Rattus norvegicus: one gene and its partners. The protein of the gene in region 1 interacts with the protein of each later gene in a pairwise test. Links are inferred from orthologs where the notes say so. Each region holds a gene or a part of one and is shown on either strand. Other genes may lie near its edges.

Evidence for each region.
Region 2: the proteins of Lmo2 (region 1) and Tal2 interact in a two-hybrid assay, tested with the Homo sapiens proteins (2 studies listed by BioGRID and IntAct). The link is inferred for Rattus norvegicus from reciprocal best matches to the Homo sapiens genes LMO2 and TAL2.
Region 3: the proteins of Lmo2 (region 1) and Ift43 interact in binary tests that used the Homo sapiens proteins (3 or more experiments, as listed by UniProt). The two-hybrid records come from large-scale screens. The link is inferred for Rattus norvegicus from reciprocal best matches to the Homo sapiens genes LMO2 and IFT43.

The regions. Positions count from the first base shown.
Region 1 is NC_086021.1:110,819,851-110,824,378, reverse strand, and holds the start of Lmo2 (rhombotin-2), read right to left. Parts: upstream 2,927-4,528; 5' UTR 2,706-2,926; coding exon 2,699-2,705; intron 2,572-2,698; coding exon 2,352-2,571; intron 1-2,351. UniProt on the Homo sapiens protein: Acts with TAL1/SCL to regulate red blood cell development. Also acts with LDB1 to maintain erythroid precursors in an immature state.
Region 2 is NC_086023.1:73,204,961-73,209,323, forward strand, and holds the start of Tal2 (T-cell acute lymphocytic leukemia protein 2), read left to right. Parts: upstream 1-1,411; 5' UTR 1,412-1,479; intron 1,480-4,363.
Region 3 is NC_086024.1:111,459,409-111,463,702, reverse strand, and holds the start of Ift43 (intraflagellar transport protein 43 homolog), read right to left. Parts: upstream 2,953-4,294; 5' UTR 2,922-2,952; coding exon 2,868-2,921; exon of another isoform or gene 2,858-2,867; coding exon of another isoform or gene 2,843-2,857; intron 570-2,842; coding exon 477-569; intron 1-476. UniProt on the Homo sapiens protein: As a component of IFT complex A (IFT-A), a complex required for retrograde ciliary transport and entry into cilia of G protein-coupled receptors (GPCRs), it is involved in ciliogenesis.

The DNA.
Region 1 (4,528 bases):
CTGCATGGTGAAGGAAATCTCTGTGCATGAGTTCTGGCTTCCTGTGCACATGATACCTTTGCACAAGCCTAGGCAAGGGCTGACCTGCATCTGGAGATGCGATGGTGAAGATCCAAGCTGGCTTCGAGCAAGCACTCGGTGAGGCCGCTGGCAAGAGAGTGAGATACAGGAGAACGAGACATGCCGGTCTGAGGACAGATATGGACAGGACCAGACTCTGACTCAGTTTACCTTTCTATAATTAATGACATGCCATTCTCTCTGGTGAACAATTCAAGCCAAAGACTGAATGAGATTTACCTTAAGTTAATATTTGATATCCTTCTACCAGCCTGTCCTAAATAGGACACCTGAGTGTCCCTTTAGCTTTGATTTCTGGTAAAATTTCTCAAAAATTTCCCAGACAGAGGGGAAATGTTCCACAGACATTTCCCACAGGGCTTGCCCATCTTCAGTTACAGCCTTCCTTTTCTGGGCACATTCTGTAGGACGGATGAACTACTAGAGGACCTCATGAACTGGGTGCTCACTATTACAGCTGTGAGATACCTTTCAGGTTTCTAGTCTGGGGCAAAAAAGACACAAACTTTAGTCAGAGTGAACTTCCTTTACAGAACCCAATCCTCAGGCTGGAGAGAAGGCTTGGCAGTTAAGGATGTTTTCTGTTCTCCCAAAGGACCCAGGAGTCTCCACAAGCAAAACAGGTGAGTGCTAGTATCTGTGACTCCTGTTCTAGGAGACTCATCACCTCTAGCCTCCAGAGCACCTGCGCTCAGGTGCACACACACATCCATGCAGTTAGTATTTTTTTTTAAGGTACCAAACTCTGTAGACTCAATGTCTAATATAGGATTCATAGTGAAATTGTGCTGATAGGAAAGCAGTAAACACCAGTTCGCCAGACCCACTCCCTTACTGTGTAATCTTATGTCTCGTCCAATCTCTGAAAACTCGGGGCTCAGATGTAATTTTAAATGTATTTTTAAAAGGGAACAAGCTACAGACACCGACTCTTTTTTTTAAAGGGTTGTTGTTTTTCCTGAGATTTTAAGGAAGCTGGTCTTTATGTCAACAAACCTAGCTCCTTTCTGAGCTGTGTGTCTTAACCTTCAAGACTGAAGAGTGATGTTTATATTCTCGTTGGATCGTGGGACTTCCTGTATTTTATGAGAACACGCTGGGTTTTTATGCTGCTGACTGAGGGTAAAGCCCAGGTAAATAAACACCACACAAGACTGAAATTGAAGGGGGGGAGGCGAGTAGGAAAACTTCAGCAGGAAAGCACAATTCTTTTAAAGCAGGAAAAGAAAAGGAGGAAAAAACCCCACCAAAACAAATGCGTCTTAAAAGCCCAAATGGACAAGTCATTAACCAGCTCCTTTGGTCTTGTGTTAACAAATCCCTTCAAAGGATTAGATGAGGACTTCAAAGGAATAAAAACTCAAAACCAGACAGCTAATGATTCTTAAAAGGGCATTTGTGTGGACATGAAAAAAAAAAACCCAACAAAAAACAAAACAAAAAAAACCCCCAACACCTTCATTCTTGGCTCCCCTTGTTAAATCTAGAGAATGGGCTAGGGTACAGGCTGTGGAATGGGGGTGTTCTTTGCAAACCAGCGCAAAGCTCAGAGCATAAGACAGTACATACTCATACAACTCTTGGTTCGCTGACCCCAAGCCCTTCTGAAAGTTTGATGAGATTCTGTTCCCTAGGAAAACACACTGGAACAAAAAAAAAAAAAAAAAAGAACCAACTTTCGAGGTTCACATGCCCACAATAGGAGACTCATGGGAGGGGTGAACATGCACCCGGAGGAACTCCGGATTAGCAATTCTAGAAGTCTCTGGAGGCCAGAACCAGTCCCCAGATGGACAGGCGGACCTCATCGACTATCTGCTCTACTCCGGGCCTGGCAGTAGACTGTCAGAGACACCAGGGACGTTCTGGTTGGGATGCCCCTCTTTCCAAAGCCAAATAGACAAAAAGGAAGGGAATCTGGAGAGGGTGGGACGAAAGGGGAGAAGGCAGAATCTCGTCCTCCACTTTCCCTGCCCTGCACCTGTGCCTCGGAGCTCCGGGTGCCTGCTCCTGGGCAAACTTTCTGGCCCTTGTGAAGGTTTGGGGAGCTTTCTAGATAGCCCGGAGCGGTCCGCGGGGTTGATCCCAGTTTACAGCTTCCTCCAGTTCCGCCCAGCCCCTCTCGGTGTCTCCAGAGTCACCCGCGAGGAAAGAGAACCCCTGCGACACCGAGGGACCAAGGGCATGCTGCGGGCGCGCACCTGAAGTCAGCCCCTCGCGCCTTGCCTGGGACCCGGTGTGGGGTGCGGGGAGAGAAGCGCCACACTTACTCAGACGGGTCCAGGCTCTTCCTTTCGATGGCCGAGGACATTGGGGAGGGGGGAGGCGTGCCGGGCGGCGGGGGCGCTCCCTTTGTGGCGCGTGGCTGGCTAGCTGCCTGGACTCGGACCCCCTCGGGTGCTCGGGCGCCGCCGCTCCTGCGCCTCCTCTTGCTCGGTCGCTCGGCCGGCGAGCTCGCCCCTCCACGCTCAAGGACAGTCACCGCGCTCCCTTCAAACGCCAAAGAGAGAGAGCGAATCACCCAGCTGCCCCGCGCGCGGCGGCCGAGGCAGGGGGCCGGGGAGCAGCCCGGCCTCCCTCCGGCGGCTGCGACAGCTGCCGCTGCTCAAGACTTAACCTTCCATCCCGGTCCCGCTGCCGTCACCACAGCCGCCGCCGCCGCCGCCCGGTCCCGATCGCGCGCAGTCGCCGGCTCCGCCCGGCCGCCCCGAACCCCTCGCACCTTCGCTGGGGTCGGGGCGCCGAGGGCAGAGAGGGGGCGGCGGCCTGGGGGCGGGGAGCGGACCGCGCGGCTCTCCCGGGGCTCCCTCCTCTCTCGCGAAGGTCTATTTTCGCTCAGCTTCCCTCTGTCTCTGGTTTCATTTCCTTTTTCCTGATCACGATTCAAATACAATAGAAGGAAATCACATTTAAAGAGACAGCTGCCCGCCCCCTCCCCCTTTTTTTCTTCCTTTAAAAAAAAAAAAACGGGGCTCCTGGGGATTAGGAATCCAAACAGCAGCGGCGGCAGCAGCAGCAGCGGCGACGGCGGCAGCCCCGACTTGGCTTCTTAAAGGGACCCGTGGCAGAGACCGAGAGTCTTCCCTGAGCACCACTCCTGGGGCAAGAAGCCCGCTGCCACTAAACCGTCCTTTTCAGAGTTCCCCTTCTGCCCTTTCCCTTTGGTTTCAGGCTGAAAGTAACCACCTGGCGGTTCCAGCAGGAAAGAAATGCAAGCGTTGCTAGTGGCTGGCTAGCGAGCGCTCGTCTCGGGTTCGAGGTCCCAAGACCACGGTCGTGGTGCTCTACGAAGCCTGAGACAGTGCGGCTCTGCTGGCAGCAAGCTCGTAGCTGCGACTGCGCTCCAGAGAGGGGACGCAAGCTGTATGACCAGGGACCTCACGCGCTAGGTGCGCCTGAGCAGAGCTGGGGGCAGCTAATCCCGCAGGGAGGGTGGCTGGGAGGGACCACGTTGTCCGGGTCTCCTCTCCATCTGCTGGCGGCAGAATTCCCTCCCTCAGCATCTTTCAAAGAGCGAACTCCAGCGGTTAGGCTGGCCCTCTCTGCAAAGTATCAGCAATACTTGGACCGGAGGAAGTTCCTTGCCAATAATCAAGAACCTTACAGTTGTTACTTACTATTATTTTGCCCTATATAAAGCAAAGAAAAGGACAGGTTTCTCCTTCAGGCTTGAAGGCAAGTTCTAGAAGGACAAAGAAATGCAGAAGGGAAAGAAGAGGACTCTAGCTAGCTAGTTTTGCAGGGAGAAAAACCTAGGTTCTCCCGGGCCTCGAGTTCCTTGAAACTGAGTTCAGAAATGATCGTTCAAGTCCCGTTAGCTTATGATGAGGACAGTCTTCAGGTTTGTGAAGAGGAAAATTCCGAGTGCCTTCAGAATCCATCGTTAGTAAGAACAGCCTGGATCAAGGACGTAGGCATTTCAGTCCCATTTTAAAGACGGCTTTAATAGCCTGAAGATGATTGTTGAAGTCAGAACAGAAATCCTGGGTTCCTGGTACAGAGCAAAATCCTCACTGATTTCTCCTTAGCACTAACCTGAACCACACCCACAGATTCCTGTCATTTTCTTGCCTCCACGTCCTGAAATTTATACTGAAGGGGAATAATTAAAATCTGTGTCTGTGCGCATACCCTCGGGTTGGTCCAAAACCCACCTCCAGTATATAAAAAGACATTTTCCTATTTAAGTCCTTGTTCTTTAAATTAAGAAAACAAACATCTTTACAATGTCTACACAAGCCTAAATTATATGATAAATACATAACTTGTTATTCTGCTTTCATTTCTATCTGAAGTGAAAATAAACATTGTTTGTGGTAGCACAGGCCAGTAATCCCAGGAAGGGGCAGGAGCATTAGGAACTAATTCAAGGTCATCCTCCCCTACAAAGTTAGTTAAAGGCCAGTCCGGGCTACAGGAGCCAGTGTCTCAAAACCAAAACCAAAAG
Region 2 (4,363 bases), on another chromosome or scaffold:
GGGGGTGAGGTGGGGGTGGGGCACAATTTTGTATGCTAAAAGCTCTTAGGTATTGGGCTGATGAGATGGCTCAGCAGGGAAGACACTTGCTGCCAAATCTGAAGACCTGAATTTGATCCCTGAAACTTACCAGTGGAAGAACACCTCCCTCCAGTTGTTCTCCGACCTCCACACATTGGCCTGGGAGCACCTCCCTCAATAGATGGATAAATGTAATCTGAAAAAGTTTAAAGCTCTTCACTGGGAAGGTGGCATCTGAGTAAAAAGACCTAAGGAATGCCAGCGCTTTGAGGGCAGACGTTTATGTCTGGTTTTGTTTGGAATTATCCTCTTGACCTCTAAACAGGGCCTGACTCGGGCATAAGCTTCCAGTGCTGACCTGATTCACAGGAGAGGAAGGGGAGGGAAGGACCTCTACTGGATAACCTGGGAGAGGCACGTTTAGGCAGAGAGAACCCTGCCAAAGCTGGAGGCAGGGGGATGCCTGATGTGTTCCTGAAAGGATGAACCGGAGTATTTCACTTCTCTGGAGCTAAGTCAAGCCCAGGGGAGGAAAGGACGGCCTGACTAGCAATAAAGGGATCTCAGTAGCCACTTAAAGTCTACTGCTTGCTTTCCTTCTGGTGTGTGTGTGTGTGTGTGTGTGTGTGTGTGTGTGTGTGTGTGTGTGTGTGGGCTTGCTTGCTTGCTTGCTTGCTTTTCAGACAAGGTTTCCCTCATTATCTAAATCAGGGCGGCTTCAGATGCCCCATCCTCTTGCTTGGCCTTGCAGATGTTATTACATCTGTATGCTTAGTTTTGAATGAAATGGAAAGCCACCGAAGAGTTTAGATCTCAGAATCTGACAGAAGTCTGACTAGGGTTTTCTCAGGTCATTCTGGAAGATACAGGACAGAGGAAGGGAGACAAGAACAGAGTCCCTCCATCCCTGAAACAACCATTCCCTGTGCTGACCAACAGGAAAAACTAGACCAGACCCTTATATGAACCCACAGTCTGTGTCCAGTGCGATGCTTTTAAATTTTGCTCTGTGTCTGCATTTCCTGGGGTAGTTGGTAAAATTGCAGGTCACAGCCCTCATCTCTCAAACTCATTAAGGGGATCTGGAGGTAGCCATTTGGATCGGACTACACCTGCCCTGGTGTTTGTAGAAGTACCCGGGGAGTTAGCAAGAGTCCGAGGTATTGGGATGCTTGCCTGTAAGAGGAGGTTGGAAACAGCAACCCCTCCCCTAAAGCCTCAGACAAAGAGGGGACCCTCTTCCTCCACTGCTCCTTGGCTGCTGCACTTGGGAGGGCTGACGGGGCAAGGTGGGGAGGGACTGGAGGGAGTCCTCGGCTGGAAGCCCCCCTCCTGCCTCCAGACAAAGGGTGGTGTCCTATAAAGGCTGTGGCAGAGACCCTGCGTCCAGGCGAGGGCGCACACAGACAGGCGCTGCGACAACTGCGACCGCGCCAGCTCCCAGCTCCTGGCAAGAAGGTGCGTTGACTTAGGGGAGTGGGAGCAGCTACTGAGGGGACTCTGGGTGACCCGGGAACTTTCGGCGGGACAGTGGCAATAGCGCGGCTCTTGGGAAGCTGGTCCGGACTCCTAACGCATGTTGTCAAACCCGTTTTAGCTGGAACGCAGAAACAGTTCCTTCCATCCCAGGGTTCTTTATCTCAACCCCAGATCTGTTAGCGACCCTCTGAGACTTGGCAGATCTGAAATTTCGACCACTAGATGTTTTCCCAGCCTCCCGAAATAATGTATATGGGCAGGTCAATGGTTTGCTACCGTGGGTGAGATAACTTATTCTTTTTAAGGGTGGAGAAGGGATAGATAGGAAATGAGGGTTCATAGACAAGCGGCACACTGGACAAAATGTGCGGAGGAGTCAAGTGTAGGCAGGCTGCGAGGCGCTGGTGTGAAGTGCGCCTCAGAACCGAAGTCCCGGGCACATGAAAGCTATTAGTCCGCAGCCCACAAAGCGTATCCAGTGAGTCCTACTGACTCAAAGCTTAACGTGGGGCTGCTTAAGAGAGACAAGCTTGCCCATAGTATAGTATGTATAGCGGGTGCTAAAATGTGAGTGTGTATGTGTATGTGTGAGCGAGGATGGGGTGTACACCTCAGACCAGCAGTGATGGGGAGTGGGTTGGGTTAAGTAGATAGGTAGGGACCTTCCTTGTACTGTTAACTTTTTAATTATTTTTTGAACTGGCATGGGCTAACTTTTTAAAAATCAACGTATAAGGTGTTAGGTATTGCTGTAACAGTTTCAAATAAACTGTGTTTTAGTCGTTTCCTTCTCTCATCTCACTGCCCTCTACCCTCATACCATTCCCACACACACACACACACACACCTTGTAACCTTCCCCGGTAAATCTTGCTGGCTTGGTGCTTTTTCCTTAAGAGAGCAGAGCAGTGCCTGGTGTTGGCTGTCAGACCCCATCCATCCTCTGTTCAGCTTTCCAAACTGCTGCCCAGCTCTCTCTCTCTCTCTCTCTCTCTCTCTCTCTCTCTCTCTCTCTGGACCAAGTCTTAAGAGACAAACACACGGATTGGGTTGGGTTGCAGGAGATAAACTGAAAACCCTAAGAACAAAAGAGCTGTTTGAGCCTGAAGGCCTGGGGCTAGCCATGTATGCAGTGAGCTTTGGACTTTTGTGCCTTTCTAGATGACCTGGGTTTTGTGTCCAGGAGCTGCGGGCACCAAAGAGCAGCAATTAGCAGCATGATCTCCTCTTGGAGGATCGCCATTTTCTCCAGTTAATGGGCTACTCTCTGGTGACCATATAATAAACTTACAGTTTATTTAACATAGCATTAGTCCAGGCGCTTTCTACAGCCCCCATGCCTTAGTGAGATAGTTCATCCAGGCAGGCCTTAAGCGTATGATCCTTTTTATTTCCTTAACGTTTTTATGTGTATGGGTATGTATCTGTGCCTGACTTTCCTGGCTGGCACCCAGACGAGGAGGCTGATTCTTCTGGAGTTAGAGTTACAGACAACTATGAGCTGCCAAGTAGCTACTGGGAATTGAACTCCAGTCCTCTGAATGAACAGCCAGTGCTTGTACCTACTGAGCCATCTCGCCAGACCTTTTGCACCATTATTATTATTTTTTTTTTTTTGGTTCTTTTTTTCCGGAGCTGGGGACCGAACCCAGGGCCTTGCGCTTCCCAGGCAAGCGCTCTACCACTGAGCTAAATCCCCAACCCCCTTTTGCACCATTATTAACTCGAGTCTCTAACCCCTACATACCTAGGGATGTGTGGCTAGAATTCAAGAGTCCCGTGAACTTGAGTAAGGAGACATTGGATCTTTAATTCTATTAACATTTATTCTAAATGTAGCATTTATTTTATTTATAAACATAGGTGATTAAATGTATTAATATCAACATGGTTTTAAATAAAGTAAACAATTTTGGGTTCTCTCCTTGGAATAACAACTTTAAATGTGTTAAATACGAGACACCAGACAGGGGGAAATAAGCAGTTGTATTTAGTAGCTGTTCAGATACTTTAAGATACGATACAGTAGCAAAGTTTTATCCTAACACAAGGTAGTGGTGGCAAACTTGTCACCAGTGGAGGTCCTGGATGCTAGCATGTCACACCCCAGATGTTGCAGATCGTTTCTTAAAAGTTTCAAATGTCACTCCTTAGGAATTTTGGTAATATGTGTAGTTTTTAATGTGTTAAAAATTAAGCAAATGCATTGCCCTTTTACACTTTTATTTTAGTATTTAAATAACTAACTACTAAGTATAACCAACTAATCTTTGTATCTCCGTACTTTTAACTTATGCATTCACAATTTTGACAAATGAACCAATATGTATTTAAAATCATCATTCTGAGTGGACTGCAAACCCGGGCTTCCCTAGACCACCAAAAAAATTCACGGAGAGGAAAAAGAAAAAGCTAACGAACCCTAACGTAGTGAGAGTCGTCAGTTGTGACATTGGTGCTTGCCTGGCCCTTGTTTCCACATCTCTCCATGGCATCTGGTGTGGGATTTTTTTCCCTCTCTTCTGTTGCTTTGAAATCAACATTAGAGGCAATCAGACCTTGCAACTGGAAAAACACTAAATGTAATTTTCCTTTGATTTAAGAAGTACTGCAGCAATTTTCCAGTGGCCTCTATTTTGAGCTTTTCCAGCTTGTTAAGTCACTGATTTCTATTTCCCCCGTGGAGAAGGAGAGTAAAACACTCGAGGCTAAATCAACAAGTAATTACCAAGCATCCCTAGGATGGCAGGCTACATTTTAGAAGAGTCTTTTCTTTTCTTTTTTTTTTTTTTCTTTTCTTTTCCCCCCTACTGTTCCTTCTGTCCGGCTAGTACAATGGGCTCCAGCCCTCTTAGAAAAACAC
Region 3 (4,294 bases), on another chromosome or scaffold:
GCTTTCCAGTGCCTCGCTTCAGACGGCTCTACAGAGCGCTCGAGAGCTGAGGCTGTACTCAGGGAGATAGAGTGCTTGCCTGGCACGCACAAAGCCCCAAGCCTGAACCTAGTACCTACAAACGACAGAGCAAATACTCATGAGGTAGAGGCAGGAGATTCAGTAATTCAAGGTCATCCTCAGCTACTCAGTGAGTTCCACACCAGTCACCTGAGACCCTGTCCTTAAAAAAAAAATTGGATACTATGAATATGAAAAAAAAAAAAAGTCCAGAAGCCAGTATAGCCTCAAAGGAAAGATGTTCCCAGTAGGAAAAATGTCCTCAAAGAGAACATCCAAGTCGAGACACATGCATGGAAAGACTGGCGTTCCAAACAAATATAGGATGCCACAGCCCTGCTCGCTAAGGGTTTGTTTATTCCTGAAGAGCATGCATGTATCCACGACTTCCTGTTTCACATCTCTGTAACACTCACCTCTCCGGTCTGAGTCAATGAAGAATTCTTGCTGTTGAGATAATTCTCAGCCTGAGTCGACTCCTGTTGAGCTCGGCGTCCCATCTTGGCCCCCTGAAAGGAGAGACGGAGAGTACAGCTGACCCAGTGTCACCTGAGGCCCTGTGGGTATGACATACAGTAAGCCAGGACTGGGCTTTTACGGGATAGCAGAGAACAGGATCTGAGTAACGTGTGTGTGTGTGTGTGTGTGTGTGTGTGTGTGTGTGTGTGTGTGTGTGTATGATATATGAATATATCAAGTGGAAATATTCATAGAGAATTCTCTAAACCTTTATGAGAAAGTACCCAAGTTAGATCTACTTGGTAGAATAGGAAACATACAGGTTATTGATCGTGAGATTTTCAACAGCCACAGTTACTGCAAAAACAAAGTCACTGTTCTGTCCTGTTCTGTCGATGACAAACAGAAATGCAGCTAGCCTGGGCAGTGACCTCAAGTCATATAGCCCAGAGCAGGTGGTAAAGGCTCCCACGTTCCTAGACTTGAGGCAGCTAACAGGCTTTAAGAGAGAGTTCCTCAATTCTATGGCAGCCTAGTAATCCAGACACCTCTTGCTCTGCTGGTTAGATCTGCATCTACAGGCATGGAGGGAGCTCTACCACAGGAATGCTGAGACAGCAGCCTTGGCAGCTATAAGTGAGCACCTCAGGATTCTGAGTCAACAGACGAAACATTTGCAGGTGTCCCCAGGCCCTCCAAGTGGGTCGGGCCTCTGTTGCCAACACTCCCCAGAACAAAAGGAAACTCTGAGGCACACTGATGGGTGCTGAAGAGTATCTGTGCAATCATTTAAAACAAAACAAAACCAGCACCAGCATAACATCTTCAGGTCTCATTGCCGGGGCTGTGCTCCAGTCTCAAGATGCTATGGACAAAGACTGAGACCGATGGAAGCCAGGACGGTGATTAAGTAATGTTCGAATTTAAATCCTATGTTCGTCCCACATCCCCAGAGCACCCCACTGAAAACCTGGTGCTAAGTGTTCTAAGAAGGGAGACTAGGGTTTCCGGAGAACCACATTAAACAGACAGAAATCACTAAAGTGGAATCTGGCCATCCAATTGCAACCATCAACTCTTCAAGTTACAAGGCCGATCTTTTGAAGTTTCAAGGGTGACGGGAATAATTTTTCTGATGATACAGTTCATATCTTTCTCTAGAAAGATACCCTCTTTTGTTTGTCCAAGTATCTGATTCTACAGTAGTTACCCTGAACAAAAATGATCCTGTCTGTAAACGTCCTTGACAAGCGATTTCTCTATCAGCCGTTAATGTTTGAGACTATTTGAAGACCCTGTAAAATTCACACATAGAAAACCTGAGGTCATGTATTTTAAGGGCAGACTTTTTATTGTCTTTTCCCCCTTATCCTTCTCCCCCTCAACTAGAGCAAAGGCCGGTGGTCTGTTCTCTGCTATCTATCTCTCCAGTGCCCAGAACAGCGCCTGATCCACAGCAGGGCTCACTACATATTTGTGGAAAGAATGAAATAGTCACTACATTCACATCCCAGGTACCAAAAAGGTTCGTGTATCAGAAAGACTTGGTGGCCTAATGCCCGTAGCTTTTTAAAAACCCTGCTCTATTAACTTCTGCCCCTTTATCTCCCTCCAATAGGTGCCTCTCTAGAACCTTGGAGGGCATAAGATGGTACCAAGGCCCTTCGGGGCACCTGAGATTTTACATCAGAAACTAAGGACTTGACAGGCGGCCCAATTCTTCAGTGGTTTCAACCAACTCTAAAGGCTATCCAGACCTGGTGGGCACCGAGACCTGGTGGGCACCGAGACCTGGTGGGGGAACTGTGACAGTAAGAAAACACTGAATGTGGGTCTTTAATCAAGTTCTGTTATTTGCTGGCTAAACGCCGGTCATAGGCTGGGAGGAAACAACAGGAAGGTCAACGAACTGCTGCAAATGCTTTCCATGAATCGCCCCATTTCATCTGCACAGCAACACTAGCATGGAAGTCGAGGCTAGGTGTATTCTGGTCCATCAACAGATCTGTCACCTAGTTACTCTCCCCATCCCCAACCCCCTACACATAATAAAATGGAGTATTGATTTCCAATCCTGGAGGGGGAGCAGAGATTAGAGAGCATGAGGAAAGGACATCTCCAGCCAGCTCTCTTCTCAGTCTCTTTCAGAACTTCCGGGACTAGACTGCCCTAGAGAAAACTCCAGGGCGGGAGCGGGCGTGGTCGGAGCGGGGTCAGACCCTCCGTTAAGGTGGAATTCGCACTCGGGCAATTGGGCCAGGGTCTGTCCCGACTCTGGGCTTCTCAGAGAGCCGGGCCACTTGTCCCACCCGCCAAACCGGACCCCAGCCCCCAGCATCGCTCCTCACGGAGGTGGCCGAGCTGCGACGTTTCTCCTCTCCCAGATCCAGTAAATCGTCCATCACCGCGGCCGCTGATGTCACTTCCTGGAAACAGCCGTCTCCGCCGCGTCCCTAACAACGACCCCGCCCTTCCATCCCAGTCCTTAAAGAGTCCGCCTCACAATTCCTAGGTCCTGTGTGTCACCTTCCAATTGAAACCAGATCTTTCCTACACTAACTTTGCTGGACTTCGGAGAAAACAAAACAAATCGCCAACTAGCAAGATCCTCTCTAAGGTTGCTGCAGAGAGGTTAGCCCTGGGGACTGCCTAGATTCGTAACTCTGATTAAACACGGTTGTGAGTGGAAGCACTGCTCTCAGTGATTATTCTGAGCCCTCACATTCACAATTGACAGAGGCCTTCAGAGTTACTGTTCAAGGATAGACGTGCGGTGTTATTTCCATTTGATGGATGAGCACCAATGTAATAAATAGTTTACACATTTACAATGACTTGCAAAAAATCAGTGTGTGTGATTTCTGCCTTCAAGAGGTTTATTGAAAGCAGTCATACATGGTGATGCACGCCTGTAATTCCAGAACTTGGGTGTTAGAGGCAAGAAAAATTAGTTCGATGTGACAGGGGCCATAATCCCAGCTTGTTACTTAGGAGGATGAAGCCAATGGACTACTTATGACTAGGAATGGGACTCCAGTCTTGGCAACACAGTGAGACTCCATTTCAATAGAAATAGAAAAGAGGGTATAATATTGGGGTTCTAACTTAATCTGAACAACCCCACAAAGTGGGTAGCAATGACTCATCTTACCAGCAAGACAGACAGACAGAGGAAAATGACTCCAGTCCCAAGTGCCGGGACAGCCTTTGTAACACCACATGTTACTGCAGTGACTTCCAGCACGTAGTGGTTCCCAGCCATCCTCCTAGGCCTGCAGGAGATAGCCCACAGACAGCCTAGGGGGTAGTCATGTTGAGTCTTCATTGATTCATTCTACATAAAATCCCTAAGTCAACATCTCCGGCCAGTTCTTGGCACTGCTCACTAGGACTCACAGAAAATGGAATGTGGATCTCCACAGTTCAAGAAGCACTGGGAGGGCTGCACCTAAAGCTTAATGACAAGCATTGCTGAAGTACCCAGCAAGTGACATTCAACTCAAGGTTTCAGTGCCCCTTTTACTGAGCAAGGCCAAGCATTTTCATGCCCAATGACGCCGGCCTGCGAGTTGGAAGAATTGATTTCTCAGCCCAGCCTTGCTTGACCTCAGTTTCCTTCTGAGATCCTTACTGGCTTCTCGGTGAGAATATTTTGTTAGATTTTAATCAGACAGAACAATCAGTGCCAAAAATCTAAGCCAGCTTCAATATAGGCACCAACTATTCCCTTGTTCCTTCTTCCTTGGCACCAACTGTGCAAGAAGGGATTAATGTT